Linked DNA regions of Drosophila melanogaster. The protein of the gene in region 3 purifies or fractionates together with the protein of the main gene of each other region. This does not show direct contact. Each region holds a gene or a part of one and is shown on either strand. Other genes may lie near its edges. The genes, in order: Csp, VGlut, lap and nSyb.

The links.
Region 1: the proteins of lap (region 3) and Csp purify together in Drosophila melanogaster (affinity purification with western blotting, with the first as the bait; one study listed by BioGRID). This does not show direct contact.
Region 2: the proteins of lap (region 3) and VGlut purify together in Drosophila melanogaster (affinity purification with western blotting; 2 studies listed by BioGRID). This does not show direct contact.
Region 4: the proteins of lap (region 3) and nSyb purify together in Drosophila melanogaster (affinity purification with western blotting, with the first as the bait; one study listed by BioGRID). This does not show direct contact.

What each region holds. Positions count from the first base shown.
Region 1 is NT_037436.4:22,265,519-22,275,061, forward strand, and holds Csp (cysteine string protein), read left to right. Parts: upstream 1-1,863; 5' UTR 1,864-2,234; coding exon 2,235-2,269; intron 2,270-3,834; coding exon 3,835-3,973; intron 3,974-4,055; coding exon 4,056-4,208; intron 4,209-4,270; coding exon 4,271-4,402; intron 4,403-4,413; exon of another isoform or gene 4,414-4,702; intron 4,703-5,395; coding exon 5,396-5,458; intron 5,459-6,039; coding exon 6,040-6,244; coding exon of another isoform or gene 6,245-6,252; exon of another isoform or gene 6,253-6,850; coding exon 6,851-6,873; 3' UTR 6,874-7,780; downstream 7,781-9,543. Other genes in the region: Ddx1 (Dead-box-1), read left to right, coding at 1-327; CG11523 (uncharacterized protein), read right to left, coding at 560-1,036; Srpk79D (Serine-arginine protein kinase at 79D), read left to right, coding at 9,040-9,543. UniProt on the Drosophila melanogaster protein: May have an important role in presynaptic function.
Region 2 is NT_033779.5:2,397,525-2,403,794, reverse strand, and holds the start of VGlut (vesicular glutamate transporter), read right to left. Parts: upstream 3,501-6,270; 5' UTR 3,445-3,500; intron 3,045-3,444; exon of another isoform or gene 2,830-3,044; intron 2,689-2,829; 5' UTR 2,462-2,688; intron 1,906-2,461; 5' UTR 1,551-1,905; coding exon 1,501-1,550; intron 1-1,500.
Region 3 is NT_033777.3:7,184,543-7,191,060, reverse strand, and holds the start of lap (like-AP180), read right to left. Parts: upstream 4,068-6,518; 5' UTR 3,650-4,067; coding exon 3,514-3,649; intron 938-3,513; coding exon 795-937; intron 341-794; coding exon 265-340; intron 1-264. Other genes in the region: CG10055 (uncharacterized protein), read left to right, coding at 4,490-4,755, 4,851-5,247, 5,304-6,467. UniProt on the Drosophila melanogaster protein: Assembly protein recruiting clathrin and adaptor protein complex 2 (AP2) to cell membranes at sites of coated-pit formation and clathrin-vesicle assembly.
Region 4 is NT_037436.4:1,630,829-1,640,324, reverse strand, and holds the start of nSyb (neuronal synaptobrevin), read left to right. Parts: upstream 1-2,650; 5' UTR 2,651-2,692; intron 2,693-2,712; exon of another isoform or gene 2,713-2,766; intron 2,767-3,052; exon of another isoform or gene 3,053-3,055; 5' UTR 3,056-3,505; coding exon 3,506-3,507; intron 3,508-4,315; exon of another isoform or gene 4,316-4,359; coding exon of another isoform or gene 4,360-4,388; intron 4,389-4,640; coding exon 4,641-4,791; intron 4,792-4,865; coding exon 4,866-5,024; intron 5,025-5,087; coding exon 5,088-5,139; intron 5,140-5,417; coding exon of another isoform or gene 5,418-5,431; exon of another isoform or gene 5,432-5,820; intron 5,821-6,518; coding exon of another isoform or gene 6,519-6,535; exon of another isoform or gene 6,536-6,616; intron 6,617-6,819; coding exon 6,820-7,076; 3' UTR 7,077-7,267; intron 7,268-7,870; coding exon of another isoform or gene 7,871-8,058; 3' UTR 8,059-9,496. Other genes in the region: Bgb (Big brother), read right to left, coding at 1-330; Mettl2 (methyltransferase like 2), read left to right, coding at 1,253-1,416, 1,471-2,284. UniProt on the Drosophila melanogaster protein: Involved in the targeting and/or fusion of transport vesicles to their target membrane. Major SNARE protein of synaptic vesicles which mediates fusion of synaptic vesicles to release neurotransmitters.

The DNA.
Region 1 (9,543 bases), on a different chromosome or scaffold from region 3:
TGGTACCACGGCGAGTGGTGCAAGTCGCGCGGCCGTAGCTGCAACAACACAAACTTAACCGAAGTCCGAGGATGCTGCATCTGGTACAACGAACCAAACCTACTGGCCGAAGTTGAGGACCACTTGAACATCACCATCCAGCAGGTGGACAAGACCATGGATGTGCCAGTTAATGACTTCGACGGCAAGGTCGTGTACGGTCAAAAGAATTTAAGAACTGGCAGCGGCTACGAAGACCACGTCGAGCAGCTGGTGCCAACTGTACGCAAACTGACGGAGCTAGAGTTGCAATCACAATCTTTATTCTTGAAACGTCTTAAGGTCTAACGCGGATCTGGAGCGACATTTGTTTGCTATGCAAGGAAAGGATGTGGTGAATTGAGAAGTGCAAGACCAACTCACGCGGAAATACTTTTGCGGCACAAACACACAATTTTGTATATGTAGGAAGTCGGAGCTCAAGCTCTGCTATTAAAAATAAACATTTAATTAAACTAACATTAAAATCGTCTGTCTAAAGAGTAAACAGCCTCGTTTGAAAGCTGGAGTCCGGTTACCGTCACTTCTTCTCCTCCTCCTCCGCCTCCTCCTCCTCCTCCTCGTCCTCCTCGTTGAACTCGGTTCGCATCTGTTGCAGCGCTCTAAGCTGCTGGCACAGCTGGTTGCCGAACGACTCGACGTAGCGGGGGCTGATCTTGTCCAGCAGCGCGTACGGCGTTTCAAATATCTCCTCCTCCTCGTCGTCGCCTTGCTCTTGTCCGTTGCGAAGCAGTGCAGAGATCCGGCTGTCCTCGTCTATGGTGTCGTACTGGGAGGAGACGATCTTGAAGCCACGACTGCTCACCTGAACGCAGCAAGTGGCGCTCTCGATAGTCCGGATGTTCAGGTAAATTTGCGTGGCATCGCTTGCCAGTTTGGATGAGATGCAAATCTCAGCGACGTGAGCCTTAACATCGTTAATTATGGCGTTGGCTTCGTCCTCGCAGTTGAAGGCCTGCTCCTCCCCAGGGTCTGCGGTGGCTTTCGGTTCGCCCATCCTAACAGAATCGCTTCGGAGCTCTGCGGCTCGCCTTTTAATTGAATCCCAGTCGATCTGATTCCCTTTTACAGGCGCAACATGTCGTTCCACTCTACTCCATATGTGTCACAGCAGCTGTGTGGCGTGTGCCACGCGTTAGTACATTTTGACCGATGAAGCGGAGCAGGGCGTTCCGGCCAAACTGAATATAATCGTTATTAATGATTTTACATGCAATTTAGCTTAGTTTTTGGTTTAATAGAAGTTCGTAAGACGTACCGATATAAAACGGTTGCTGTCGTATCGAAAGTATAAATTACTCCTAAATAATTGAAATTGGAATGGAGGGGTGCATAGTATAGATTATGGATTAAGTCCAAAATTTGTATATAGCCTCTTTTTTACATTCTTTTTACAAAACTGTAAATAATTTTAATTTAATTAAATAATTTAAAAAAAAACGAAATAGACAATTTTTTTTATTTTATTATTAGTTCTTAATATATGCTTCCCTTATTTAACTTTGTAATTGTATAATTAAAAAACTTAATTTAATTTTTAAATAAAAAAATATTAATAAAAAAATATTCTGCGAAATGGGTTGCATCAAAAAAAAAAAAACACGTGCACGACCTTTTCCTTGGGTGTTCCCTTTCACCCTTCATTTCTTAGACAATCTCGCTTCCGCCCATACAAATTTTATGCATACAGAAAATGACCTGCGGCCGATCGTTGCTTGTGAGTCGCTCACCAGAAAAGGTTATTGCGCTCGTAATAAAAAACTGTCGGATATTTTTTATTCCCGCAAGTAGAGTGTCAAAAAACACCCGGCTGCCTAGATACAACAGTGTTTAGCGGGTGCACTTGGAGTGCCAGTGGCTTGCTGCAGTTCTCTGGTGCACACTTTCGATGCGATTTCTTACAGTGAGTCCCGTAACAGCAGCTATTAATGTTGCGATAGATGGCGTGTTAGTCCAGAGCTGGAAATCATTGATGTCGGCAGGTAAACCGATAAGATAGAACATCGGTTCAGTTCCATCTCTAATTTCGTTGCGAAAAAAATAAGAATCGAGGCATCGGTACGGACGTCAAAAACTGCAATTATAAGAGTACACGCACAGATTGTGGTTCTTGGCAGGCACAGACTTTCACTGCGTGTGACAGCGATCGCTAGTGCAAGTTACCCGTTCGCAGTCAAAGTGACACAGGCATCAGGATGAGCGCACCTGGCATGGACAAGAGAAAACTGTCGTAAGTATTTTGTAGTGCTCCTTCATTTTTCCTCCACGGCGCACACACACGCGCCGTCGGCAGAGTACACACACTCAGCCCGTGCGCGAGTGTGAGTAGCAGCTGCGCGCAGGCAGCGCGGTCGGCGCGAAATTGATTTTTCGCGGCAGAAGTTTTCTCGAGCCAGCAGGCACTTTCCTTTCCACGTCGGGATAAACAAGGAACCGGGTCAGGGGTAATAATGGGCTCCGGTAGTGGGAAGGGGAGGGCAGCTGCGGCTGGAGTTTGATTTCGGACAAGCGAATTCGTCCTGGGCAAGGCCAAGGACAAATTTGGCCATTTGACGGAATTCGATTTTTATTTGATTTCAATAATCGTTAGTTAAAATCTTAGTGGCATAGTTTCAACTTATGTTGCATTAGGCAGGAAAATGTAAAAGGTAGAAAAAAGGCTACGCACATCATCGATCAAGACTCGAGCCGATATCATTCAGATATGTGCTATGTAATACATACAGACCATTATTAGAATTACACATTATAACTACACAGTATGAGAATTTCCTCTTCCTTTCTCCTCTTCCTCTTGCATTCTTCTCGGTTGGCCACACCTCTTTTGCCCGCAAATCGCACGATTTCAATTGTTTAATAGAGAAAAAATGAGTCGAATACTTCATTTTATAAATATTGTTCTATTTAAATTGTTCAATGTTTGGGTCTTCGTGCAACACATACCGATTCCGGCATAAGTGCGCGATAACAACAGACCTACAGATCCAATAACACGACAACCAACTAACTAACCAGCCTGGCCGTTATCGGACAGAAAGTTTTACGGCCGCGTTAGCCGTCTCTATAATTGTACCCTATATGAGTAATGCCAGCACTAACCGCTTCAGTTTGGCCCAGGCGAATTCGAGTTGGCTTAGATTGTCATGATGCCTGCCAATGTCCTTGGCCCTGTGCAGTCGCCCACCGCCCAGTGTCCCTGGGGCACGCATCCGCTTGAGCCTGTAATCACCCTCATCATCGTGGTCCTCAACCACTTTGTCGAGCGCTCGCCGCCTTATCAGCTCGCAGATTCTCAGAGCGGGTTTAGGCATACACAGCGTTGCACCCCAACCCCCTTAACTTACCAAGTTTATAAATAGCACCCACCTGCTCAAGAAAATCCATACAGATTGCAATTTATGTTGCACGCGACCCTGCTGCAGAGCCAACAATGCCAGTTGCTTTCGAACTGGACGCCCTCAATGCCAACGCCTAGTCCGTGGGTGCAGGCAAGCCCTGAGGGCCAAGTGCTCGCCCGGATGAGCTCCCATCGCGTGCCACGGCTAACTGTTGCTGCGGTGAGTCATAGTCCAATACTACTTGCGATGGCTGGGCCTTATCGCCCTCTGTCAGAATGTAACATACGCAGCTGAAGGAATGTCGGAGGCACAGTGCAACTGCGCTAGGCAGGTCCACGCAGTGGTTCCTGAGGTCTTACCTGTGCGTGGTTATCAACCTTTAATTCCAAATGCGGAGACGTGGATAGTAATCCTACGCAATACAGAGACCATGTTCACTTGATTTTCATTTATTTAGGACATCTGGCGACTCGCTTTACGAGATCTTAGGACTTCCGAAGACAGCCACCGGAGATGATATTAAAAAGACTTACCGGAAACTCGCACTCAAATACCATCCCGATAAGAACCCGGACAATGTGGATGCGGCTGATAAGGTAAAATATTTCCGAGAAATGGGTCCATGCGTATTAATATATTAATATAATATATAATATAAATATATTAATATATTTGCAGTTCAAGGAAGTCAACCGGGCCCACTCGATATTGAGCGACCAGACGAAGCGCAACATATACGACAACTACGGCTCTTTGGGCTTGTACATAGCCGAGCAGTTTGGCGAGGAGAATGTCAACGCATACTTCGTGGTCACTTCACCGGCTGTAAAGGTCAGGAATCGCGGTATTTCGCATGCCTAGGCACATTAATTAATCTCTGATTCTCCTTGCAGGCGGTGGTTATCTGCTGTGCCGTGATCACTGGATGCTGTTGTTGCTGCTGCTGCTGCTGCTGTTGCAACTTCTGCTGCGGCAAGTTCAAGCCGCCGGTCAACGAGTCGCACGATCAGTATTCACATCTGAATGTGAGTGAAGTTACTTGGCTTAGCCAAGTCCAAATATAATACCCGCCCCAACACAGCCCGCCAATAACTGAAATCATTTTGATTTAGTTAAGAAAAGAGAAAACAAGAAAACCAATCCGGTGCAAAGCTAAAACATTAACTTTAACGCATGCTTCCCATCCACCCACACACTGTACTATTACGAACCTAACAAACCAACTTTGATGATTTTTGTGGGGAGATCTGTATCATTTTTCCTTCTGAGAAGCTAATGTTTAGTCAAAAACGAGCCCCTACATCTGACATCAACGCTTACTTAACAGCTGCCCGAACAATAAACGCCTAACCATTTTTTAGTATAATTTTCCTGGGTTATCAGCTATCTTGGCACACCATCTCCCTCGATTGGTTTTCCCTTACTCACACTACTCCGTACAAACACTACTCTGATTGCACTGCTTTGTAATTAGTTTATTTTGGGTAAGTATGAAGTTTGGTTTTGGTTTCCGATTATCAATTCTCCAGACACTGAAGTAATCAGAATACTGATTTTTGAGACCAGAGGTAAACACGACTAACCCTAAAACTTTTCCGATCCATCGAACAATTTTTGTATAATTTATTGTTAGTGTTTGTTTTGTATATATGTACTTCACGAAAATCATCAAATGCTTCCAACGTTTCTCTCTCCATAAAAAAAATAATAAATAACGTCAACACATACACGCTCGGATTTCTCGAGACAGACAGTGCAACGATTATTGTTTTTTCCACGATTGCTTTTCTTGTTTTTTAAGTGTCCCATTGCGCATACAAATTTATTTTGAAACCACCCAGATTAGAAGTCTTCTTCCTTTGCTAGTTTGCAAGCTAAGGAACAGAAGCTATAGACTTACGTTTCTATTTTTGGTTAACTTCTTTTTTTTTCTCAAAAATCTTTGCGATCGACTCATCATATCCACCACCTACTACCACCCACAACCACCACACATTCGCTCTCGACCTCGCCGTCAGCGCCCCGATGGCAATCGGGAGGGCAACGATATGCCAACGCATCTGGGACAGCCGCCACGCCTTGTAAGTATGCAAATCGAAAATAATACCAGCACGAGTACCGCATGAAAAAGGTGCAAGATCACCTGCGGCCTGCCTACCGCCTCCACCTGGCTCAAGGCACCCACCCACCCACCACCCAAATAACACAAAGCCAATAACCAAATCCGAACTCTACTTAAACGGTAACCAATCGAAATTTATATGTTCCAAGGGAACACGTCTTACTAAGCTAACATTCAGTCGCAAAACTAACTTGATCGAGAGAACAGAGGAAGAGATGACAAAATAAAAAAACGTCGTTTTTTTGAAAGTACTGCTGTAAATACTTGGTAAATGTTTTATGATTTTCTTTCAATGCTGTCATCTGGCTGATTTTAATTTTGTAGTATTTGGCTTGAAGGGTCCTTCTATCCATCAGCACAAGAGTAATGTAGTGGTCGTAACTAAACCGTAGAATAGTGTACATACATGGCTTGTAGGCAGCCCACCGAAAGTTTTTGACTAAACATTGGTTAAGGGACCTTCCCTCCAAGCTCTCAAAACTTGCTGCAGAAACTAAAATACCGGCAGAAATCCTAATCCCACTCTTTTGTGTCCCGCAGGAGGACGTTGACCTAGACGACGTTAACTTGGGTGCGGGCGGAGCCCCCGTTACCTCACAGCCGCGGGAACAGGCCGGAGGACAGCCTGTTTTCGCCATGCCGCCGCCCAGTGGAGCCGTGGGAGTAAACCCCTTCACCGGCGCCCCTGTAGCAGCTAACGAGAATACGTCGCTAAACACAACGGAGCAGACCACTTACACGCCAGGTATATAAGCAATTGGTCCAGAAGTCAACCACACAGCCAGCCTCCGCTAGTTTGGCAATCCGACAAAGCGTCTTTGACCATCGAACTTGTTATTGTGCATATATCGAACAAATATTGTTTCCTTCGGTCGCTGGATAGGTGGCGAAGGCATTCAGTCACCAGTCGACATACCCCGTCCAGCGATCAGATCAACACCCCCTTAGCAGTAAGCTCGTGTATCCGGCAAGGTATTTTTTAGTCACTTTCTGTACATGTCCACGCGAATATGGGATCCATTTACTTAGATCTGCATGCTGAATTACATTACCACACACTGCCCGAGCTGCAGGATGACCAATGAATAGATTGATTGACTCAGCCTTTCGTTCCTTAGGTCTGCGCCAGCCGTACTCAAGTCCCCCATTTTAAAGACCTCCTTTCAAGATTGTTTTCCAAGCTTTCGCAAATTAAATGAAATGAAAATTTTAATTTCCATCCAAGACATATTCAAAGAATGTAGCTTAAGTTTGACGGATTTTAGTTTTATCGTTTCTTATGCAACGCGTACATTTTGATTTCTTTTCACTTATCACTGTCTACTTCTCTCTCCCCCTCTCTTCACTCTAGATATGGTTAATCAAAAATATTAGTCAAGTGCTGCGAGCGAGTCAAGACCCGGGTGCTTGCGTACACCACACATTCAGATACAGACACAGAAAACACAAGCCCCTAAATCGTAACAGAAGAGAAAACCAGATTTATTTCATAATTATTAGTGTTGTTTTTAAAATGCGCGATATGTTGAAGCGAGTAAACATAGAAACCAATGTATTTATTTTAAGCCGTAGCACTTAGCTCTAATTTTAAACTATCGAACTTCGTGGCCGCCCTCCGGTCAGTCAGGTTGATTTTGGTCCACTTCGGGCAATCGATTCACCAATTCCATTGTTCAAGCCATGCATCTAGCCTTGCAGCTGTACCACTATACAACTCGAATCGATAGCCAAGCCGCGAAGCCACCATCTCCACCTATCCAGTCATGCTAATCACCAAAACACCATTCGGTGTTGATGAAATTGTATATCGGAAGTTTGTCTAGACATTTGCTTGGGGATCGGATCCCTTGCGGCTTAGCCCGTGAGTTGGGATTCAGTCGCGAAGAGAGGCACTGTAATTATATATATGTATATGATATGTGTATCTAGTTTGTGGCATTTGTGTCGTCGCTTAGTCTAGCTAATTTGTTCTCGAGATCTCCTCTTCACCGATTGTTTCTGTTATTTTGCACTAAATTGTTAAAGCCAGAACTACTTATGTAAAAAGGATGAATTGTCGAGCGACGCGCCCAGCAGATTGCTCCGATCCGATTCTAATGCAAATGTAAATACGAGTTAAACAATTAAGCATCACACAGTTAAACAGAGGAGGACGAAGAAGAGGACACTTTGAAGGGCGATCCAATTAACGCAAATATAAATTATATAACAGATATTAATAATCCCCTCTATATATAAAACAATTAAATACGAGTAATCAAAAGTTGAATTGTAACCCCCGAAAGTATTGCACATATTTATGTATTCCAAATTGTTTCAAAATTGAATTGAATCTAATTAATTTTTGTTTGATTGTTAACCCGCTTTTAAATGTAAATGAATGCGATTAGTCCAGCAGTAATTAACTTTTATATTGTAGTATCCCATTCTAAATCATTGACATCAATTATTGCCGATCAGCTCCGGGCCAGGATAAAAGTCCTTGGGCGCCTGGGTCTAGGGCCGGGATCCGAGAGTCGCCGGCTCATCTATAGTATAAACACGCATACATATATAAAATTCAATTATTAATAATTACATTTTACGGTCTTGCGTGTGTATTTATTGTTCGTACAAGTCAAAGCAAAAATACTAAGTAAACTAAATTTAAACTTAACAATTGTTTCCAAATTTCAATTGTATTCTGGTCTAACACGAAGAAGCCGAAATAAATTTATTATACAAACTCACCGCTTTGTTTTACAAAGGGTATTGCCTAGTCGGCTTTGCCCATGAAAAGCTCTGCCAGGATGGTAAACAAACTGATTTTCGGGGATGGAACTTTCGACGACGCCAGCTGCTTGCAGTTAGCTTTCACTCTCTCCGCTCGGGCTTTGTTTTGTTTTGGGACAGTAACGGGCCACAGCCGGCACATGCGCTTTGCCCGCTCCCCGGAATCGCTGAACTTCGCCGCAGAGTTTTCCGCTTCAGAACCCGGAGGGCAGACCGTCGGAGAGTTCGAGCCAAGTGCGGACAAAGAAGACTTTTCCGTGCTGCTGCTTCTGCCAAAAACACAAAGTGGAAAATGTGATGTGTTCGCTTTATTTGTCGAGGATAAATCAATTCCGCTATTAACTAGACTACGGGCACGTACCTGGCCAAAAGCATCGAAGAAAGGCGAAAGGGAATCCAATAGGCCCAATTGAGGGCAGACCGTGGAAAAACCCTCTTCTATCGCGAACCAGTTCGTGGCAGTGTGTGCGTGCGTGTGTGGATTTTCGCCTTACTTTTTTCATGCGCAATTTGGGTTACAAAGCGAGAAAAGCGCTGCTTAAAATGCATGTTTTAAGCGCGTCCCTTCATTGATTTTCCTACGCACAAGGAATGATATACGAAGTCCTCACCAGGAACAAAGGGCGCAGGCCAACGATGAGGACAAAGACGCGAGGAAGCTGCTTCTAGCTTCCCAGCATTCATTAGGACAGGGCGAGGACCAGCCCCGCGCAGATCAGGAAACTCATCCCGGGAGGCATCCTGGCTCCCGTACTGCCCAGTAGCGGCATGGCCGGCCTCATCGGTGCCGCAAATGGCAAACACCACCACCCACACCTCATCTCGCCCACCCACACGTCACTGCCGGCCGGCATATGTAGTAGTGACAGCGGCATCTCCACTTTGAGTGCCATCTCGCCGCCACTCTCCACCTCGACCACCACGGCCTCCGGTGCAGGCGGAGGAGTGGGCGGCAGCCCTCAGCTGCGCACCTCACCTGCGCTGAGTATGCTGGGTAGCGCCACGGCGACGGCCAGCGGCGTTACCGCCTCCTCAGGATGCGGTCTAACTGCCGGGATCCTGGGCCCGGCGGCCAGCATTGACCTGGGCAGCTCGCCGCTTTCTCACCGAAACTACAGCAACTCACTGAAGGGCTTTAGTTTCCGTCGCAGCTTCGACGACAAGATCATCAATACGCCGTACTTGTCGCGCGCTCCAGCCTACACCCACGGCATTCCCTATCCGCATTTTCACGGTACTCAGCCTGCGGCCACCACGCCGCACCACCTCCAC
Region 2 (6,270 bases), on a different chromosome or scaffold from region 3:
ATTTTGAGGTAATATATTAAGATCTTGGCATTGAAAAATCAGTCACATAAATATGAATGATAACAGGGTTTTAAAGGTTTTTAAATAGAAATAGCTAGTTACTTTTCAATGATTGACTATTTATTTTTTTTTTTTTATATATTCATTTTAGAACATATCAGCGTCGCATTTTTTAGACACCAAATTTTTTGAAGATGAGCCAAACTATCCTTGGCGCTCAAGTTCCGCATTGATTGTCAGTAAAAATGTTGCAGACTTTTTGTCGCCGCCCAGATTAAGGATAACTGGCGCCACAAGCAGAAGGCTTTTGTACAATTCGCCTTTGACTTTAACGTGGCCACAAAACGCGACCATTAGAGATGTAAATGGGGCACATTCTCAGATATATATGTATATGTAGAGCTGTATGGAGTGTATTAGTTTGTTTGCCCTGACAACTGTGATGAAGATGCTCTGGCACTGAGGGGGAGTGGGAGAATGGGGGCTTGTCAGCGACACGACCGCGTCTTCAATGGCAATTCTAATTTCATTTTCACTAGCAAGGATAAAGGAACTCCTTGAGCACTCCCCCAACGAGGCATTTCAATTTCTTCGCGCCGAGTGCCACTCGAGCGCTTCAGCGCCAGGTCCTGTTGGCAATGGATACGGATACGGAAACGGAAACGGCTCGCAGCTCGTAAAAATCAATTTCATTTGCCTTAAGCGCTGCAGCAGCCTTCGTCGGTATGCAACAAATTCCGTAATGAAAGCGATGTGCCACCTATTGTTCCAATTTCTAATTTAGCACTCAAGGTCCTTGAGAAATCAGACGAGGTGTGCCCATCAAATTGCATACCACGACCACACACATTCATCGAGTGTTTGCCCAATATGTCCCAGTGGCACGACTTTATTGCGTTTCGTCCGCAATCGAAGGTGCCGGAGTTGAAGTTCCCGGACACGTGCTGCCAACGTGCCCGGAATTCCTGACGCACCGGTGAGCTCGTCCGCATGCCACTGCGTTCGTTGTCACCAGTGAAAAGTGCCAAGTCCCAAGTCCTTAGAATCCCTATAAACCCCCTCTAATGACTTGTTAAGCATGCCAATAATTTTACAACTTTCCGGGGGGGGCGCGACACGTGCCGAAGTTTCGCGACGCCGGCTAGTCGCCAGTGCGTATCAATATCGGTACATATTTACTGCATTATCCTGGCATGGTCAAGTTCAGCCAACCACGAGCACCGACCATCCTTGCGTTAAATTAAACTCTCTCCCTTTTGTTCTCCGCAGGTCCATTTGATTGCAATCATATTTCATTTCGGGCATATTGCCACCCATCATCGCTGTACACTTGCCAACAAAATGAGGATATATTTTAAATATACATATAGATCTGCTTTCTATGCTTAAATATATCCTCTTGCTGGTAAAAAAAAAAAACCTTTATAAATCTGAATATTCTTTAAGACCCAAACCCTGCTGTCTGGTGTTACTAGAGTATATCATATCACATCGACTCACCCGCCAAACACGCCCGTTGCCTTCTCCTTAAACGCCGTCAGACCCTTCATCTTGCTGCTCAGCTAGTAGTCCTGATTTTCCCAGACGCCTGTCCTCACTCCGCCCCTGCCTCCGGATCAACGAGTCCTGCTCCTGCTGCTGTCCTTTCGCCCAAGTCAGCGTCTGTTGTGCTTCGTTGCCTTTGCGCCGTTATCACTTGGGCGCATAAATATATTTTGTTGCCTACTTCACGGCGGATTGCCGTGTATATAAGCGTAGCGAATCGGCGGCGGTTAATTTCCGTGAAGCCAGCACAAATTTGATGACTCTATTTTCGGGTTGGCTCGTTCTCTCAGCGGGGGATTTTCACTTGGTCGCCATATGATTTCGATTCTCGTGGAGTTTGTGCATTTTCATTTACAGTGCCTGCAAAAGAGATTTGTATGCGGCTATTAATGGGTCCGGCAATTTGTGTTCTGCTGCTGATAAGCAAAAGTCTCGTACAATTTCATCATTTTGCACATTTCTTGTAAGCCGCTTATGTTCATAAATTCACGAGAATTTCGAAATGATTGTGATGAGGGGTAACTACTGAGCCGGCAGAGCATTTTGTAAATATTTCTGGCATTGTGAGCGGTTTTGATAGCGTTTTATGCTTCATTTGGTGTGAGCATGAAATTTGACACCTCTTTTGATTTGGGTAATCTCTTTCGAAAGAGTTAGCAATGTTACGATTATTGGAATTATTAGAATTACAATTTATAATAAGAAAACAAATTCAATGGAAATAATCATAGGTTTTAAGTTTGTGCATTTTTTATACTAGCTTATTTCTTGTTAGATCAGGAATTTCGAAACTAAATGTAAAGTATATATGTACGCATTCTTTGGCGTTTTTCACAAAATTCTTTAGATGATTCCATTGGAAGCTCCTCCCCCAAAACAGTTGTACTTTTGACCTTTGGCCACAACGCCTACTTACATGCCACACCAGAGTTACGTAATCCATTTCGTAGTTGGTGCAAGATTATATAATCGGCCTCTAGTCGTAACTTAAGCACAGATATTTTTGGTGATTAACTTGGCTTAAATTATGTTTTAGTAGACAACGAAAATCGTTTAATTTATTTTGTTGTTGTTGGTTAGGATATCACAAATAAGGTACACAGATAACAGATTATATAGCTTGATTATTCACTACGCGATACGCTGCAAATGGGATAAAAAGGGATATGGAATTAGGTGATTTAATATAATTAGAAGAATTTTTTAAAACAATATATATCTTCTTGGTAATGTGTTAAAATATATCGTTATAGATGTTTTGTATTTATTTATATAAAGTCTCACATTTTCTAAGCAACACTCGCCCGCAAAAATAGAAATGAAACTAAAGTGAAAAACTTAAAACTTTGGATAAACCAATTAAGAACTCAGTATGTGGGACGACAACATCCAGACAGAGTTTGACCACGAGACCGGCGGCAGGTTGTCTATGGAACCGACGACGACGACGAGGACGATGGTGATCCGAATCCAACTCTGTCTGAAGACTGTGTGACGTCCAACTCAAAATCAGCCGCGTTGTGGACCTCCAGCCAAAGATCGGCGGAGGACAGGTGGCAGCGGAAGATGGATACATAAGCTGCCATCGCGGCCTGGAATGTATCACATACAGGGGTATATGTACGGAGGGACTAGTGATGAAGCGAATGTGGGATGGGGTGTTAAAGGGGTGGGAGGAGCGTAGTATATACACTGGAAATTTTCAACCACTGGAATGTGCGAGATTTTCTTTTCAAGGGTATTACGAGGCGTTGCCAGAAAAACGTAGATTTCTCAACTTCTAGCCGGAGGGCAGCACTTTTTCGAAACACTTGCTATATTAGCACGATTATTCGGATATTTTGAACTATATTTTCTGATTTATTGGTATATTTTAGATGTATTTTCCCAGCTATATACCCGCAGCTCCAGGCTCGCTTTTTGGCCTCAGCAGGACAACGCACGAAGTGAAACTAAAAGCGCCCGCATTCGCCTTTCTTGTCTGCCCAGATGGATGTCCTGCCAGAGGATTATGCTCCTCCGCAGCATAATCAACGCATCCGTCCCGTTCGCACCCGCTGTGGTGAAAAGCTCGCGACGCAGGCGACAGCTGCGCAGGCTCGAGAATCCTTCGAGAGTCCTTCGTCCTTCGGCATTGGTTGACGGCGAATGGCAACTGTAGCAGTTGAGACTGGGGACAGCTGTGGGGGAATGGCACGCCACCTGGCCAAAAAGAACCAATCAGAGGTCCTGGTACATGGGAATGTCTTTCTCTGGGTTGGCATGCGAATCTCAGTCGTGCGTGAAATGCTATTAACATGTTGCCAGGCCATTTTCCATTGTTTTCCTCCTGGCACACAGACGTCCTGCGTCCTTCTGCCGCCTTTTTATAGAATGTCAGCCATTTTGAATATTTTCCCCTGTCTGCATGGGGGCTCAAAATAGCTCCAAACTTGGTGAATTTTTGGAAAATGCTACGATTTATGGATGAGCGTTTCAATATGAATCGTGAAGTCTGACCGGCTACAAATAAATAAGTCCTTTGCTCTTGGCTTTGATCGATTCGAATCGGACGTGATGCTTTTTAAATTCTCACGTTTGGGAGCTTGAAATCTATCTAATGGATTATCATTAATTACTGGGCGGTCTAACGGTAAAAAAACATTTGATTCATTTTATTAGAATACTCTAATGGATTTTTCGATCCTAAATTGATCTTATTTAAAACCAAAGCTAGTTGTCTTTTATTAGCCCCAAGAAGCAGAATGATTCGTTTATTATTATTCGTTATTATATTCAAGGAAAGAGAAAAGAATCTCCAGTTCCAAACAACACATATACTTATTAGGCTCAACTCAACTTGAATATTCTCAATGGCCACTTTAAGTAGCTAATAATCCTGGTCAACAGTGTGAGCAACTGCCTCGATTCTCATCAACCACATCGATTCACGGGACAGAAAAAATCCATGCCCCATAGAAATCCCCGCTTCCGTTCGGCGTCCCATTCCAGGATCCCCTCCAGATGTCCTGGCCACGTTGCGAATACGACGCGTTGGCCTAACCCTCATAAGCATAAAGCAAACAGCCAACAAACAGTTGCAACTCAGCCAAAAGCTATAATAAAGTTGCGGAAGTAAACAGCAAAGCGAAATAAACAAGAAGCGGGACGAGGAAACAGCCGAGCTGGGAAATGAAAGGAAAGTCAACAGAACGGCAGCGGGATTTTCGCATTCGAAAGGGATACAGATACATTTGCAGATACAGATACTACGTCTACGGCATGAGCCAGACTTCGGGGCAGACAGATTTCCACAGACAAGACGGCGGCACAATAAAAGCATCTGCGATATTAAATTTCGAAAAATGCCCAATCCGTGCGGCGTTTTACTATTTAAACAAAGCGATTAAGGGTGCGTGGCTAGCGGCTAAAAGCGCCATTCACATTGATTGACGTAAATGAAGAATAATCGAATTGCGAATTGTGCTCATAAAACTCTAAACTAAGTGGCGACGTTGTCGGCCGGATCGAGTGTCAGTCAGTGCCCATCGTGCACAGTGGAAAAAACCGAACATTCAAATTGGTTACAAGCTCAATCTACAAAAGTGCTAGTCAAATATATATATTTTTTAAATTACAATAAGTTCTATATGCATATGAGATTTGCAAGCTATATTCATCTATAATTTCGACAAATTTATAATATTCCTCACTCAAAATGATTCTTTAACACCCACTGTGCTCAAATCGGTAACCTTAGCTGTTGGCCCGCTCTCATAAATTGTCAGCAGAAAAGTGTCAAACTTGAGTTGACAGTCCCCCGGACGGAGTTTCGTCCTGGAATCGGGCGAGGACTTCCGCTGGCCTCCCAGTTCCCATCGCACGTCAGCGGTAATTAGTGCAGCTTCGGCAGAAAGTCGTCTTCAATTTCATTGCGCCAGCGTAATCATCATTATCCTGTTGGGCCTGTTGTGTCCTTATCCACGCGGCGGTCTCCCGTCGTCCTTGCCGCTTGCACTAATTACAAAATAACTTTTGCAGCTTTGTCATCTCTGTGTACTTTTTTCGGGAGATTCCCCACGGTGCGTATGATGTATGGCTTTTCGTTGTCTGATTTATGAGTGAATTACGGGAATGGGCGTCGGTGGATTACTTTCGGTGAAAGGGTTTCACGCGGTTTTAATTACCAGCCGAAACTGTGACGACTTTAAAAGCTCTCGAATTTCAGCTTGAAATCGTCAAAAGTATGCGAGTGGTTTTCCCACCGAGGCGGGAAATTGATGAGCTTCTGTGGATTCAGCAGACTCATGCTGTCAATCCACATGTCCACCCACTCAATCATCAAACTAAACGCTGTGCTCGTCGATAAGCGTGGCACATAGTAAGCGGAGTAACATTTCGAATCCTTGGGACTGGGGGAATCACGCAGGTCGGGGGTTAAGGGTGTGTCGCTGCCCAAAAACGATTTCTGAGATTTAATATTTATTTTTGTTTGTGTGCAAATAGCTGGAAGCGTCTGAGATATGATGGAAACTGCGAGGGGCGAACTATGAAACGGGGGATTTTGAGATGTCTGTTCGGTGGGAGATTTATCTTACAGCTTCTGTATTTTTTGGATTTATAGACACATGAAACTATCATATATTTCCATAGTTTCCTACTACTACCCCACTTGGAGGAATCGCCTTACCCATCCTAATTAGCATATGCCTCCATTTAGGACTCAACTCTTTGTCCGTCGTACAA
Region 3 (6,518 bases):
GCCAGCATGTAGTGTGCGGTATGTAGGTCAGTAAGCAGCGCATTTCGGTATTAATATTTTTGTTTTAGAGATTTTTGTTAAGTAAACAAAATTACAAATGATCAAGCCAAACGTTCGCGCGCATTCGCATGAGTTGAAAGAGAGAATGAGAGAGGAATGATCAAAATGTAGGTATTAGTTAATAATTTGAAATAGGTAAATCGATTGAATAGTCGATGGGTTTGAAACAAATTTGGGAGGCTTAAAAGGGAGGCTTCGTTATACCTTGTACAGTTCCTTTGTCCAGAAAGGAGCTGAGATTGAATGTAGAATTGCTAGAGGCAAGATATTGCATAAATCGCTGAAAAGATTTAGGAAAAACAATAGGAATGCTGTTAAATATTATTTAGATAATTATAAATCGCAATTAAATGGAGGGAACTATAAAAGTTGATGTGTTAAAAATTTAACATTTATTTATTTATTTTTCAGAGAAGACAACTTTTTATGTCACCAAAAAAATTACTAAGAAATAAAACTGAACGAACAAAAACTGAAAGTAAAATACCACACAACGATATACTTGGTCAGAGGTCATCCCAAAAGAGTAATTCTGCAGTAATAAGTTGCCATTAAAGGTACAAGAAGGAAAATAATAAGAATCTCATGATGTACGTGACCTATTCATCTGTATATTAAATCAAACAAAATAGATTACCTCATTTCGAACGCTTAAATGAAAGTAAAAATGTATTTGAAATACGCCCCTAAGCTTCGCACAAACACTAGATTCCGATAAATACACAAATACAAACCTCATTGCCATATGCCATCAGATGATGTGTGGTTATCAGCGACTTGTAGACGACGACCCAGTTGGCATTCTGTGAACGCTCGATAAGTAAATTGGCCAGATGAGGTATCGACACATTCGGCTCGTTTGTGCAGTGCACCAAATCTGCAATTAAATAAAGGTATGAAACTTATATTAACACAAAGCAACCACAAACTAATTTAACATTTTACATTGATTTAAAATAATAAATGAAAATCATTTTATTAAGCATAGCTTTATATTAGTTTCTTAACGCATATCCATACAGTAGATTAGAAAACAATAAAGAACGTTTTTTTTTTTTGTAATTTTCGGTTAGTGAACCATTTGCTCTTTTCCTTAATTTTGTACGTCCAACTCAACTTTACTTTTGGTTGCGATTAACTTTGACTTGATATTTATTTTCCCAAGCATTTATTGGAAAAATCAATCAGATTCGATATAACCGCCGACAACTATTAGTTATTATCCTCTAGATTTATTCAACAGTATATTTTTTTTACGAAAACTTAGTTCATATGAGCAAAACAACAAATGTTTACATGTTTAAGAAGCAACATAAAACTTTAAAAGTCAATTTATCTGTTCCAGAAACAAACAACGTTTCTGTAAAGATTATTATTATTATAATAACCGAACCTCCCATAAATTTAATCATCTTGTTTTTTGCGTCCCGTTATCGGTCGCGACTCTTAGTCGTTGTTTGCTTATCTGCGCTTTAAGCTTGCAGCCGCCATTCAAGCTAAATACTGACGGAAAAGTGTCGATGATAAGAGCTGAATCCCATTGTGTCTACTATCATGCGCTTCCATTTGAATCAATTCCCATTTCGGTTGGAAAGTGTTTGTCGCCGAGCAAGAAAAAATTGCATGGGATTCGAGGGGCGTTGCACATTTCACAAGCCATCGCAGATGTTCGCCGTCCTTTTGCTTCATTTTGTTTGGCTGACGGGCGCCAGGCCAGTGATTCATTTATACATAAATAAGAACAAATTTCAATAAACAGTAAATGTGGAAAATTGATCGGTCCTTGTAAACGAAACTGGTGAGTTTCTTAACGAGCACAGTGGCCTGGGGGTGTCACTTTATGACAAAACGTTGAAATCGCTGAGTAGTTAAGACATTTTGAATGAGTTATTTAGTTAAAATTCGTATCCGCCCTTTTTGAAATCTTCACTGATTCACATATATTTCGAAAATATTTACAGTGCTCGGATACCAAAAGCGATTGGCGACTTCTGTAGCGTAGTTATCGCTGGGGTCAATTCGCATGCTTATGCTCTTAAATACATAAATAAATAAATGTGTCGGGTATCGAGACTCCACTGTAGTGGGGGACCATTGATACTTAATTTTAATTATTATTGCCCACTTGTGTAGCTGGTTGAAATATTCTGGGATCTTTTCAATCGGTGTAAAGCTCATTAAGTGCTGTTGTTTCCGTGAACACACAACTGGTTTTATCATAGGACAAAAGTTGTTAACAAAAGAAAATAGAGAAAATAGGTAGAAGAAATATATTTCATGCTACCTGCTGACGTCTTGTAAAATGTACGGACTGACTTTTAACTCAGGTTTAATTTATTTAGACTTTTGGTAACTGAATTGAGCATAACGTTTTGGATAAAGTAATCAACTTGAATAAACAGCACATGTGGCCAAATTTTGGGTTATATTGGAAATTGGTTTGCGGCAACTGCAATACAATGTTTATGTGACAAGTAACGCCCCACAATATTGCCCTCTTTTATTCCCATTTACTCGTAGCCATATCTGATGAGTCATCTGAAAAGTGCCAACAAGCTAAATAAAAGGGGGTCAAAATGCGAGCAAAACTAGCCAAAAAAACAGATTCCAACGGGAATGAATGTCGTTAGGATATGGAGCTCTTTAGAAGTATTTGCAAAATTCAAACGTGTAAGCAAATCCAGCAAATTAGGGAAGACTCTTGCATAAATTTAACAAGCAATGACACCGTGACAAACACAATCCCTGCTTTCGTAGGCGTTTTAAGCCATTCAAAGCCCCTACAAACACACGTGCACCCGTGGGAAAGTGACGTAACATTAGAGAGAGAGAGAGAGTGTGTTGGTAGAAAGAGAGGGGAGTCCAATCAATGACGAACGGAGTCCACAAACACCAGCAGCTGAGCCACAGATGCAATTTGAGGGTGGTGGTTTGTGTTTGTGGGACTTTGTGGACCGTAATCAGTGGTTTCGTTTTCAGAAAACTTTGTGATTTATCGCACAAAAACAAAAGGCACGTGAAAATGGAGCGAGGAAGCCAAGAAACCCGAACTGGTTGCATCTGAATGTTGTTGCTAAATTACTTTTGCAGCGTACTAACTGTGCCGATGGTTTTTATATTTAGGCTACATTTAAATTTTTTATTTTCTTTGCTAATTTGTTAGGCACTCCTTACTTTAGTATATTATTCATTCCAATTTTTATTATTATTAAAATTTAAGTTAATTTCTAAACAGATTTTATTGCGACTTATGTTTGCAAATAAAAATAAATTAATTTTAAAGCGTTACAAAGTAACAATAATATTTTCGTGTGTTTGATGGGTACATTTCCACTAGTAGCACAAGGCTGTGCCTCTTTTCTCTCTGTGTTATAACAAGGAAATGTAACGGTGATTTACGCAATGAAAGACCAAGAGAGTGGGCAAGGGAAAGAGATAGACAGGGCAACTCACAGTCCAAGTGCTTCTTCTTCGGGCCAATGCATTCCTCCGTGGTGGCCTTGCAAACGGACTTGGCGAGTCCTTGGCCCGCAAGGCTGTGACGGGCGGCCAGCAGCCTGTCGTTGATCGTTTGCCCTGCCATGGTCATGATGAAGCTGTTGCTGTTGTTGTTTCTGCTGCCGCTCGCTGGTTTTTATTTACTTGATTAATTTAATTATGCACCAAAGGAGCTGACCACACCGACACACACACACACTCGAAAGCAGATACAGAGAGAGGGAGAGAGAGACACACACACACACGCGTATGGGGCGAGCGAGAGACAGAGAGGTATTGATTGATTGAGAATATTTCGAACGGGAAAACTCTGCTATGCGAGCCTCACGATTAAACTAACAGTAAAGATTTAGTGGTTCCTACGTCACAATCACTACACAATTTATCGCCGCGGTTTATGCGCTCTCTAACCGGTGCCTAACGCTGAAACGCGATTTTTTAATTCTCTATTTTTCCTCTGCCACAAATCGATAATGGCGACTGGCAAATGGAGCGAGCGTATGAGCAATGTCCTAAAGCGTCCACAAAGTGGAGCTAACGCGTGCAATCGACTTGAGTTTACGGCGTTAGGTGGGAAAATATCGATTGCCATAACGTAAGCGAATACGAAATAGCTGAACTTAGCTTTTACGATGTGTTCATATAAGTTCTGAAAATAAAAAAAAATAATGATAAATAAATAAATAAAAATATAAAATATTAAGATACTATAAATAAATCTTTTTTTATAACTTAGCACTTAAAATTCCCCAACAGCAGTTAAAAAGTAGCTAGATTTGTCGGAAGTGTAGCCAAACGTAACGTAAGCTAAGGGGCTGTCAACAGGAATTTTTAGTTTCGAGTAGGCGGTCATACTGGTCATTAAAATAAATAAAATTATACTAAAAAACAGTAGTTAGCACAATCAACAGTCTCGTAATAAAATTGTAAGATGTTGAATGGACAGATTGCACACAGTTATTTGGAGAACTCGTGCACGCTGATCATACCCCGCCCGCCTGTCCTGAATCAGTCCTCAAAGTCGGCCCAGCCAGCAGCAGCTGCTGCTGCTTCTTCTTCCGCTGGTGAGGAGTTTGGTCAGGAAGCGGGGTCGGGGTTGGCGGAAGCGGAGGCGTTGCATGTGGATCGCATAAGAAACTGCGATATATTCGTTGACGCGCACGATCTTTATTTCTACGCAGATGTTAAGCTGTACAAGTGAGTCACATCCGGCAATCTGTCGTGCCCATGGTGGGCCATGGTGGCGAAATTCCAGCGATATCATTGCGTACTTGTACTCCCTTTTCGGACAGATTCCACAGCCGTCGCACCTTCGACTTGCGAGAGCTGAAGACGCTGTTGATAAAGTTCAACACGACAGAGAATCACTACCAAATTTGCCTGCGCTGTCTGCCCCTAACAGCGGGTGCCCAGGAAGGACCCGGTGGAGAAAGAGGCGGAGGCGGTGGTACGGGGGATGCAGCCAAGCAGTGGAATAGTCGCAAAGAGTACATAGCCGCATTCCTGCACCTACCCACACTGAGTGCCAATTTGCCGGACAAGCAGCCTCTGGTGCAGGAATGGAAACTCAAACGAATCACCGATCAGTGCCAATTGCAGCTCGACGACCACGAGCGCACCTACAAGCTGACCAACAATTTTGGGTACGGCTATGCTAGCGAATACAGCGGACCGCTAGACCTGAGTGAGGTGAGTTCAATTGGTTAACCTGCTCTTCCGCGCACTAAACACAGATGTTTTCACAGTTGGACAGAGCCACGTGCCGCGTGTCGGAGCCACATCGCATGAGCCCCATCCAAAGGCGGCAAGAGCGCGTGGTCGATGAGATGAAGCGCTTTTCCCGCGAGCAGTACAAAATAAATTTTGTGGAGCTACAGGTTCCGTCCGGTCACCAGAATCCTTTACGCTACAAACCGAAAATCTACGAGACTTCCATGACCCAGGAGCAAGCGCATCTGCTGCACAACATCAGCCGAATGCAGACACGGGAGCAGCAGCCGTGCGACGTTTTTCGGCAAAACGAGATCGATTGCGGGCTGATAAGCATTCTGTTGGCCATATGCTATGATGTGCGGACGACGAACAATGAGCCGACGTGTGAATCGGGCTGGACGCGAAGCATACTGTGCCCGCTTTATTGCTACTTTGAGCAATTCGACAACTATCGGGACGTACTGGTTGCCTTCCTGCGGCGAATGATCACCTACCCGCTGTACCGCAATTTCGAGTTGGGCCGCCAATGTGTACGGGATGCCATAGAAGTTTTAAAGGGCGGTCGCAACTGGTTAATTAATCAGCTGCTGCTAACGCACCAGCAGTTCGCCAGCAGTGATCCCAGTCGCGATAGCTTCAACAACTACTATTTGGAGGACTATATACGATATGTGACCAGCCCGAGCGCCTGCAGTGATGAGCACATGCGCCTTCTTGCCCGCAACCTTAAGAACGTGCTGATGGACGTAAACAAGCAACACTTGGGCCTGGGAGTGACCGAGATTGAGACTGAGCTGATCAAGGAGCTGATGCAGGAGATGCGCATCGATGCGGGAAGCCAGGGTTCCTCGCCGCAGCAGCAGCATGGCGATGATGACTTGGACCTTGATAACGATACTTCTGGACAGGAGGACGAGACTACCACTGATGATGAAAGCGTCATAACTGACTCCTTCTACAGCGTGGACATGGACATGCGACTGATAGAGAACGAAATTGTATATGAGGATGACGAGGAGGACGAAGATGACGATGAAGATGGAGATGATGATGAAGATGGGGATGGGGATGAGGATGAGGATGAGGATGAAGACGAAGACGACAGCAGTTCTTCCACAACCACCAGTAGCGAGGCGGAGGGAAACAGCGTCATCGAGCAGTGCAGCAACAGTGAGACAGCAGCCAGCACCACATAAATTGCCACTTATGTCGAGTTCGGCAAGTCCTGCTCCTGCCTTGCCCAAAAC
Region 4 (9,496 bases), on a different chromosome or scaffold from region 3:
GCACTCCTTGTCGTGCAGGTACGGGTTCTGGTTGGCGTTGAACACCAGCTGCAGATTGGTGCCCGATGCCACGAAGCTGGCCTCCGTGTGTCCTTCGCGACATCCGTTCATGAAGCGCACCTGCCGCTCCTCGATGCTTCGTTCCCGATAGCCCGTGTACCGAACCTCGCTCTCCCGACTGAGCCTCCGGAAAAGTTCGTCGCTCTCGAACTTGGACTTCTGGTCCGGGACCACACGAGGCATCTTGAAGATGAAGCGCGGCTTTGGCTGTTCATACAATCCGATGGTGTCGTAGGGTATCATATTGGCAAGTGCCGCCTCGTTCATCATTTTAACGGGTTTTCGCGATTCGTCCGCTCGATGGAACGCTGAATAGGGTATGTTTCTATGGGTGCTTCTGCAGACCGCTGCGTGCACACAATAATCCCTGGAACTCGGTACCCTGGATGGGTTTCTTTTGGTCGCTCCTTCGACGAGCCTTCTGCGTATACACAATAAGCTCTTGTATCTTAGCACTCTGAATGCTAATTGTTTAAATTTCTCGCCTCCGTCGAAAAAAACAACGCACAATACAACAAAAAGGTTGGTTTGCGGTTTTGATATACCAACTGACGCGGCGTTGCCACTGGGAAATAGTGGAGAAGTCAAAACGTAGCGATGGAAGCAAAAGCACGGCACGAGCACCAAAAACTTATTCTTATTATTCATTCGAATTATGGATATAAGTCGCAAACATAACAATACATATTCATTTTACTTACCTACGGGTTTCATATTTAATTTACCAGTTTTTATATCATGCATTTTAACCATGAAACGATATCCGCCAAGGTATTCAGTCACGAGTACATCCCTAAAATAAACTATTGATGGTCTGGCAGCACGATTACATTTGCCCGCAATTTTCAACTTTATTTTTCCCTTTTCTCTAAGGGGTTTCGGTAAAAACTCGATGCGTACTCAACACGCCACAAACTAAACACACATAGAACACATATTTCACAATTGCTTTTGGAAAAAAGGGCGATAACGGGTACATCCGATTTCCCGCTCGGAAGAGAGCCGCTTCGAAAATACTAACGGTTTAACTTTATTGGATCGGTGCACGGCCACACTGGCGGCGTGTTTACCAAAATATATAATTTGGATCGCACAAACAGGTGATATATACCGTCATTCCTGTCCGATATGAGTGACAACCCCGCCGCGGAGAACGAAAAGCGACCGCAGTTCGGAACCCGCCTGCTCACGGATGCTGACGACGTCTTCAAGCACAATGCTTGGTAAATATGGGTGGCAAATCCTCCGGAGATTGGCCAGCAAAAGTTGGGAACACACTCGCCAGCGTAAAAAACCGTCGGGAGCGGGCAGCCGGGTGCTCACCGACGCGCGAGAGGTGTTCGAGTTTAACGCCTGGTACTTATCTGCCGTTCAGTACTCATGAAAATCCCTCTAAACATGGATTCACAGGGACCACGTGCAATGGGATGAAGAGCAGGAACTGGCCGCGAAGGCGGCTGTAGCCAAGAATTCGACCTCAAAGATGGAAGCGGAGCAGAAGGAGCGATTTCAGACAGACGCCCCCAAGTTTTGGGATTCCTTCTACGGCATTCACGACAACCGCTTCTTCAAGGATCGCCACTGGCTGTTTACGGAGTTCCCCGAACTAGCTCCTCTGGCGGCGGATTCGGCGGTACTGCAACCACGTAGCATTTTCGAACTGGGCTGTGGAGTAGGAAACACAATTTTACCCCTTCTACAGTACAGCTCTGAACCGCAGCTCAAGGTTTTCGGATGTGACTTCTCCGCCCGGGCCATTGAAATCCTGCGAAGCCAACGGCAGTTCGACGAGAAGCGCTGCGAGGTGTTTGTCATGGATGCCACGCTGGATCATTGGCAGGTGCCCTTCGAGGAAAACTCACAGGACATTATTGTGATGATTTTTGTGCTGTCCGCAATTGAGCCAAAGAAAATGCAGCGGGTATTGGACAATTGCTATCGCTACCTGCGTCCCGGTGGCTTGCTCCTCTTCCGCGACTACGGACGATACGACCTGGCACAGCTGCGCTTCAAGAGCGGCAAGTGTATGGAGGACAACTTCTACGTGCGAGGCGACGGCACCATGGTGTACTTCTTCACGGAGGAAGAACTGCGGGGTATGATGACTCAAGCGGGGCTGCAGGAGGAGCAGCTCATTGTGGACCGAAGACTGCAAGTTAATCGCTGTCGCGGCTTGAAAATGTACCGCGTGTGGATTCAGACAAAGTTCAGGAAACCGCTTTAAATCAATTTAGACGAATAGTTCTGTGCATTTTAAACCTTGTTCAAATCAATTGATATAATTATTTACACGATATATTTAAAAATACAAAGTTAAAACTTCAAACTGTAATATTACTAGAACTTTGAGCATTTCTTTTTCTTGATGGAAAGCCCGGCTTGTTTTTAAATTTCCCACCCCTTGGCCATCGGCACTTGGAAATCGCTAAGGAAAAGCTTCTCGCTGGAACACCATTCGCTGCTGGCCATCCAGGCAGCTTTTTCCCCAAATACACATAACAGTTAGGAAAGCTGCAAGTTTTCGCAGTTGGCCAAAAACGTCGTAAGTGAAAATTTTCCTGGTGCTGCGTAAAAAAATTCGTAAAATATTAGTTAAGCCTGGTTTTTGTAAACTCAAGTTGCCCGAGCAAAAGTAAAGTGATTCTGATCAAAAGTGCTAAAACTGATTGATTAGGAAAACGAAGATCAAACGAAATGTCAACCAAAGTCAGCGAAAACCCTTGTCGTGCAGAATTTCATTGATTTTTTCTTCTGAGCCCACGTTGGCCAGTTGGGCACTTGAAATTATTTTTAAAACGTTTTGCATTTTGAAGACATCTTAGGTGCCCCTGGGGGTATGCAACGGAAATGAGGAAGGACATGCCTCATGGCTGGGCGTGTTGCTGCCACCCAAATAGTCCTCTTACGTCCCAATTAGAATCCCATAGCTGCCCATTTCAAGCATTAACCGATGTACTAAAAATAGTTGCAACTATTTTCGCACTCTATTCAGCAGCAGTTCCAGCGCTGAGCCAGAAAATTCCTGCGAAAGGCTGTCGTGGCAAGTGTTACCCGCACACATACACATCATCCAGATCCAGCCAATCCCCCCGTGGAGTGGAGTGAATTTTCATTGACGACGGGGCGAAAAAGCTCTGGCGGAAGAGCGACAGAGAGAGAGAGAAACAGAGAGAGAGAGAGAGAAGCGGCACTGAGAGCGCAACCCTCTAGAACAAAAACAACGAAACAGAGTTCAGCTGCACCACCACCCACTACCTACACCACCAACGCCACCACCGCCCACTGACCATCCCACATCCCGACCTGCGCCAGTGGAAGACAGTGAAAGAGGCCAAGTGCATCGTGCATAGAGTACCTTCATCCTAATCATCGACAGCCGAATTCGCTGAGGCCACCAGAGCACCACCAGCCAAACCACAGAAGCAACCACACAGCCACCAGAGCCATGTAAGTGGATGGACGTTATTGATTCGTTTTCCGGCGGGGAAATGGGGGTTTCGATTCCCCGCCTTGCTTTTCGCCGTCACAGAGGGAATGCTCGTTTGATAGCCGCATTAAGTATACGCAGCATGGGTCGCTCATTTCATTTGTCATTTGTCCAAGTGCTCGCGCCCGTAAAATCCGTAAAAGGAACACGGGCCAGCTGCAGCTGCCGTTTCGGTTCGCTAGGCATGAATCACTTGGCGATGACGTTGTGGCATCACATGGCCAAGTCTCTCACACCGCAAAATCAATAAAAACACGATTCGCACCCGTGAGTCAGGACATGCAAACTAAGTTGCACCTATTTCTTTTGGTCGCTTGAAACCAAACATAAGATATGTGTCATGATCAAAAGAAAAGCTCGTCTTATACACACATACAAGTTGTTGATAATGCTCTTTGATTCCATATAAAATTGATTTTGCCAATAAAAGCCGGGGAAAGTTGAGAAATCCAAAAATATTCCCTCCACGTAGGTAAAAAAAAAAAACCAATTGTCGCCGGTCGTAGGGATTAGGGTAAGATATTGATTTCTTTTTCTTTGTCGTGGGAAAGGGAAATACGGTTCGATGAAAACATTTTGCCAACAACAATAACCAATACCAAATGACCAAATGACTATGGATAATACTGAGATACTTCACTCTATTGTTTGTTTCACTAAAAAATATGCATCACGTAGAAACCATACAAACTAGTCCAGCATAAGTAGCTTCGCCTATTGTAATTCTTTTATTTAAAATTAACAATTTCCCTTCCTTTGGCCCCGCAGAGCCCAGAAGCCGAGTTAAAGGTCAAAGTTTTTGGGGGTCTGAGATGGGAAAGAAAGACAAGAACAAGGAACAGTAAGTGTCTCTCCAAGTTAAAGGGTAGCTGGCTAGAACTATACTCCAGCACTGTCCGTAGCCCACACGTATCTTGGAGATATTTCGATTAAAGCTAGAAACCATAGTCGTTCGTAACCACCCACCCACACCCACTCTTTGTGTAATCTAAGTACTGTATTTAATGCGAGAGCCCCCGTTGGAAGTTGATTAATCTTGGCCCGAGCTATTCTTGTTCTCGCATCCGATGACTAATGACGACCTCCTCCGCAGGGCGGACGCTGCACCAGCTGGCGATGCACCACCCAATGCCGGAGCCCCGGCCGGAGAGGGCGGCGATGGCGAGATTGTGGGCGGACCACACAATCCGCAGCAGATCGCGGCACAGAAGCGTCTGCAGCAGACGCAGGCGCAGGTCGATGAGGTGAGTTCCGGGACTGAAAGTCGATCACAGATCAGCCATTCCATTAACCACTGCAACCCTGAATCCCCGACCAGGTCGTGGACATCATGCGCACGAACGTGGAGAAGGTGCTGGAGCGCGACAGCAAGCTGTCGGAGCTGGACGACCGTGCCGATGCCTTGCAGCAGGGTGCCTCGCAGTTTGAGCAGCAGGCGGGCAAGCTCAAGAGGAAATTCTGGCTTCAGAACTTAAAGGTAAGTGCGACGATGGCAGTTACCTTGTCGGACCGAACTTCAATCTTTGTTTTCTCCGCACAGATGATGATCATCATGGGCGTGATTGGCCTGGTTGTCGTGGGCATTATTGCAAGTAAGTTGACAGATCCTGGGCGAACTTGGTGCACTCATTTCTGGGACACACATACCCCAGAGAAACTGACCTTGACCCACGCCACACCACACCACACCACTCGACTCACCACGCACACACAGAACCGAAGATACTTTCAAGATCACCCAGTTACCCAGTTGTGTTTGTCTTTTGAGTTCGCCTTGATTTAGCGCTGATTTCGTTGGCCCAAATCGCTTTCGTTTATCTACACACCGAATCTAAATTGCGTTCTTAATTCCGCCACTTTTTTTCTCTAGGTAACTTTATGTAGATTGCTAACTATCTAATCCGTAAGAATTTAGTTCTTAGCCGCAATGCAATGCAAATCGAAACCAAATCAAAAGCCAATCAATCAACCCAATAAGAACCAATCGAAATCCAAATCGAAACCAAAACCGAAACCAAATTCAACTCATTCACAACTGCTATGAGTAGAGCTGCGAACTCACAGTCCAACTGACCGTTCGCTCAACCGATTCGACCTAGATGCCTTGCGAAATTCCCATAACTATAGATCGATCGATCATATCATGTCATGCGCTTCAGCCACCACTAGAACAATAACTAAATGCTAAGTGGCATACATATGCGAGTATTTGTATTGTGTACCATGTATGCCCAAGCCCAACATCATCTGGTTCCATACGAGCATACGCACAGGTTCGGTAAAGATTTCATTTGATGCCCACTGAAAGTCGTGTCCTGTGTTGTTTCGTTTCGTTACGTTGCCTAACCACCACCAGTAATCAAGTTGAGATCACGCCGAGTATCGGATCCGCCAGCTCCGTCCATGTGGGTTGCGGCTGAGGGTCTGGACGACAATGGAAGGACCCCGGCCAGAAGCCGATCTGGCGGAGATGGACCGATACTCAATGGTGCCCGTTAGCCTTATCCGTAGGACCTTAAGTTCTAGCTAGCTAGTTCTAACTCCCGTAAGCCGTAATCGTAAAGTTTGTGGTTTGTTCAGTGTTTCGTTAACCGTATCCGTATCCGTATCCGTTTTTCGTTTGTTTCGTTCTGATATTGGCAGCAGCACCCCAGCCACAGACACACGACTGTGCCATGTCCTGTGTAAAATACAAAACTTGAATCCACTTCCCCAGTAAAAGTAGTCCCTTCTCGTAACTCGTTACTCAATACTAAGCCTTCACGCAACTCGTTACTCGTTACTCGTTACTAAGCCTCCACGCAAGCGCAACGGCCTTCGGATTGGAAAAGCCAGCCTTTCTTGTGCCACTGAACCACAGCAAAAGCATAAAGTACTGCCATTCTTCTTCATTTACCTAAGTTTTTTTTTAATGTTTTCACCTTGATTTGACACACTCTCAACACCGAACCATATTTTTGAACAATTACAGAGAAAGACGAAGAATAATCACACAGAAAGCTTCAGCTTTGTACAATTTTATTAACCATAAGCAAATCAATTTACCCAATATAACACTTTGTGTGTGAGGTAAACAGCGAGAGCAATCTTTTATTTATTACTCATACGCCACATTTATTGCTAGGTGCACCAGTTGATAAATCCTTTGTTTTACATCGCTCAAAACCGTTTCTATATTTATACTTTATTGTTATCATCTTTATCTGCTCGCTTTGAAAACAAATCGATTTGAATTAAACAACAACATGAACTCACCGAAAAATTTCTCGTAGAACCGTACATGTCGGATGATAATGCTGCTCCGCAGCCTCCTGCCTTGCAGCAGCAGGTGGCTCCGGCATCGGCAACTGCACCTGATTCAGCACCACCACCACCACCACAACTACTACAACAACAAGAACAACAACTACAACCACACCACCATACACAAAATCTAAAATCTGAACCACCGACACTCGAGAAACCATTGGCCGAGAAATTGACCGACCACCCACAGAGTCCGTCGAATGAAGTGGCGACTGGACAATAGAACGCTCACGATCTCTCTTGAAAACCAACATTCAACCAACCAACCAACCAACCAACCAACCAAACTAATCAGCCATCGATTAACCACCAAGACGCATCCGTAGAACCATAGTCAAAATTAATCAAAATCGAAAAGAAAACATTTCACACTTTCTTTGTACCATTGACAAAATCGATCTAATCCGATACACTGTAAGCAAACGAAAAAACGGCAACATATCAATGCAAATAATCATACCCAGTAATTTGACACCTGCGCTTCTTCTTACTTCCGTTTCCGTTTGTGCTCCCACTTCCGTTTCCGCCGTTCCTCTGGTTTTATATTATTTCGGCTGGCTGTAAACGGTGTCTCATCGTTTACCGCCAGCCTTAGCCGCATGTATGTGAGTTAATCGATGTCTATGTGTGATTAGTGCCTTATTATTTGATTTTTACAATTCAATGTTGTATGTATTTTAAAATTGGCCTAAGTTTATTGCACCAAAAGCGAGAGGACTTCTCTTCGGGAGGCTCAAAGGAAGACAGCTTCCAGTGACTGCCTAAATGTACATAAATATATATGTATATATATATATATATATCCATACCTGTTCGATGCAGTTGTCCCTGCTGTCCGCCCCCACCCACCGTCCACATCCCATGTCCACTTGCTATATTCCGTCATGAGTGAGCTTTTAAGCCTTGAAGTGTAATATTTTTGGCGTATACTCGTGTATCGTTGTCTGAGATTGGCTAAAGAGCGCAAAGAGCCATCACATGTCGTGCCCTACTAATTCTTGCATCATTTTAAAACAGATAAACTTGGACTCATAGGCGGGGAGCAGCCGCCACAGTACCAGTATCCCCCACAGTACATGCAGCCACCGCCGCCGCCACCGCAGCAGCCAGCCGGAGGACAGTCATCGCTGGTGGATGCGGCAGGAGCAGGAGACGGAGCAGGAGCAGGAGGATCGGCAGGAGCTGGCGATCACGGCGGCGTGTAAGCAATCCCGCTGCCAGGACGAAAGTTTCTCGATTAGTGTGCTCCTTCAGCGGGCGAAAACAAAGCAGAGAAGACAAAAGAAAACCAAGAAAGGAAAACTCAGTTAAACTAGAAAATCTCGAGAATTGCAATGAAAACTCAATAATAATTTTCACTTAGACGATGTGCACGAGTTGGTGTGAGAGGTTTTAAGTAACTTACGTCATAATATTAATACTAAATCTAATGCAGACGCTCCGGACAATTTGAAGTTGTTGCTAATTTGTTTATGGTTACATTATTTCATGCATAAAACGGTATATATAATTATAAATATAAATACAAATCTAAATACAAATACAAATATATGGAACTTGAATATTACGAGTGACTCCAACCACTACCCTGTACTACCACCCTATACGGAACTAGCATCTCTACGCTGCACTGGCAACAAGGAGCGCCAGTGGAAGCAGGAGGACAGGCGGTCGCTTCCCGATGTTCGCAGCTCTTTGAACTCAGTTTCCTTAGCAAATCGACTAGACAAAACTAACAGAATCATAACTATTTCGGAACAGACGCGAAACCAAAGAAATGAAATCTAAGCTTTGTTCCTAAGTAAAGTTACGCAAATATGATATTCGAAATGTATAATCCAAAAAGATGAATTTGAATCGACGGGCCGCCAGAGAAAAGGCAGTTAAATGTTTTCAAGCAAGTTTACTTATACAAAAACAGCAAGCGTAGTCGGCTGGAAAAAAAAACAACAAACAAAAAAGAAATGAAGCCAGCAGCAAAAGCTAATAATCCCAAAGTCTAGTGAAAATATACAAGCGATTCATTTGCTGCGTTTTGTTTACGTGCGCGCTATCATTACTGTTGTGTTTGAGAATAGCTCGAAAGGTTCGATTGAAAGCGGAATCCAGACAGTTCAACGATTAAATTAAGCGCTAGACACAAAATACGTTGGTTATCCACAGGACTTAGTTAGCTCGACGAGGCATACATATATGTTTGTATATTTCAATGTTACGAGTAATAGACGAGGCGGTAATTAGAGCATATATATGTACGTGTATGTAACGATATGATATCTAGATCTCACACACTCCACCCGAACACATTGCCCCCATCACAACCGATAGCCAATCAGGATCAGAATCAGAATCTGATTCAGGATCAGATTCAGATTCAGATTCAGATTCAGAGAGCCACAGCTCTCAGCACATATTGTACCCAACTTGTTCTGAAGATACAGCATACAGTACGTTTAATGTATTAACTAATTGATTCTACAAGCGCCTGCCCAAAGTGCTTTGCCTACCAACACATTGGGGCACGAACAAAATCGAAATTAATTAGAGAAAAAACCAAAGATTAATGGCGAAAACGAAATCGAAATCCAATTCCAAATCCGAATGCAGGTATTTTTAGCAATATTCGTAGCGTGTACAATATGT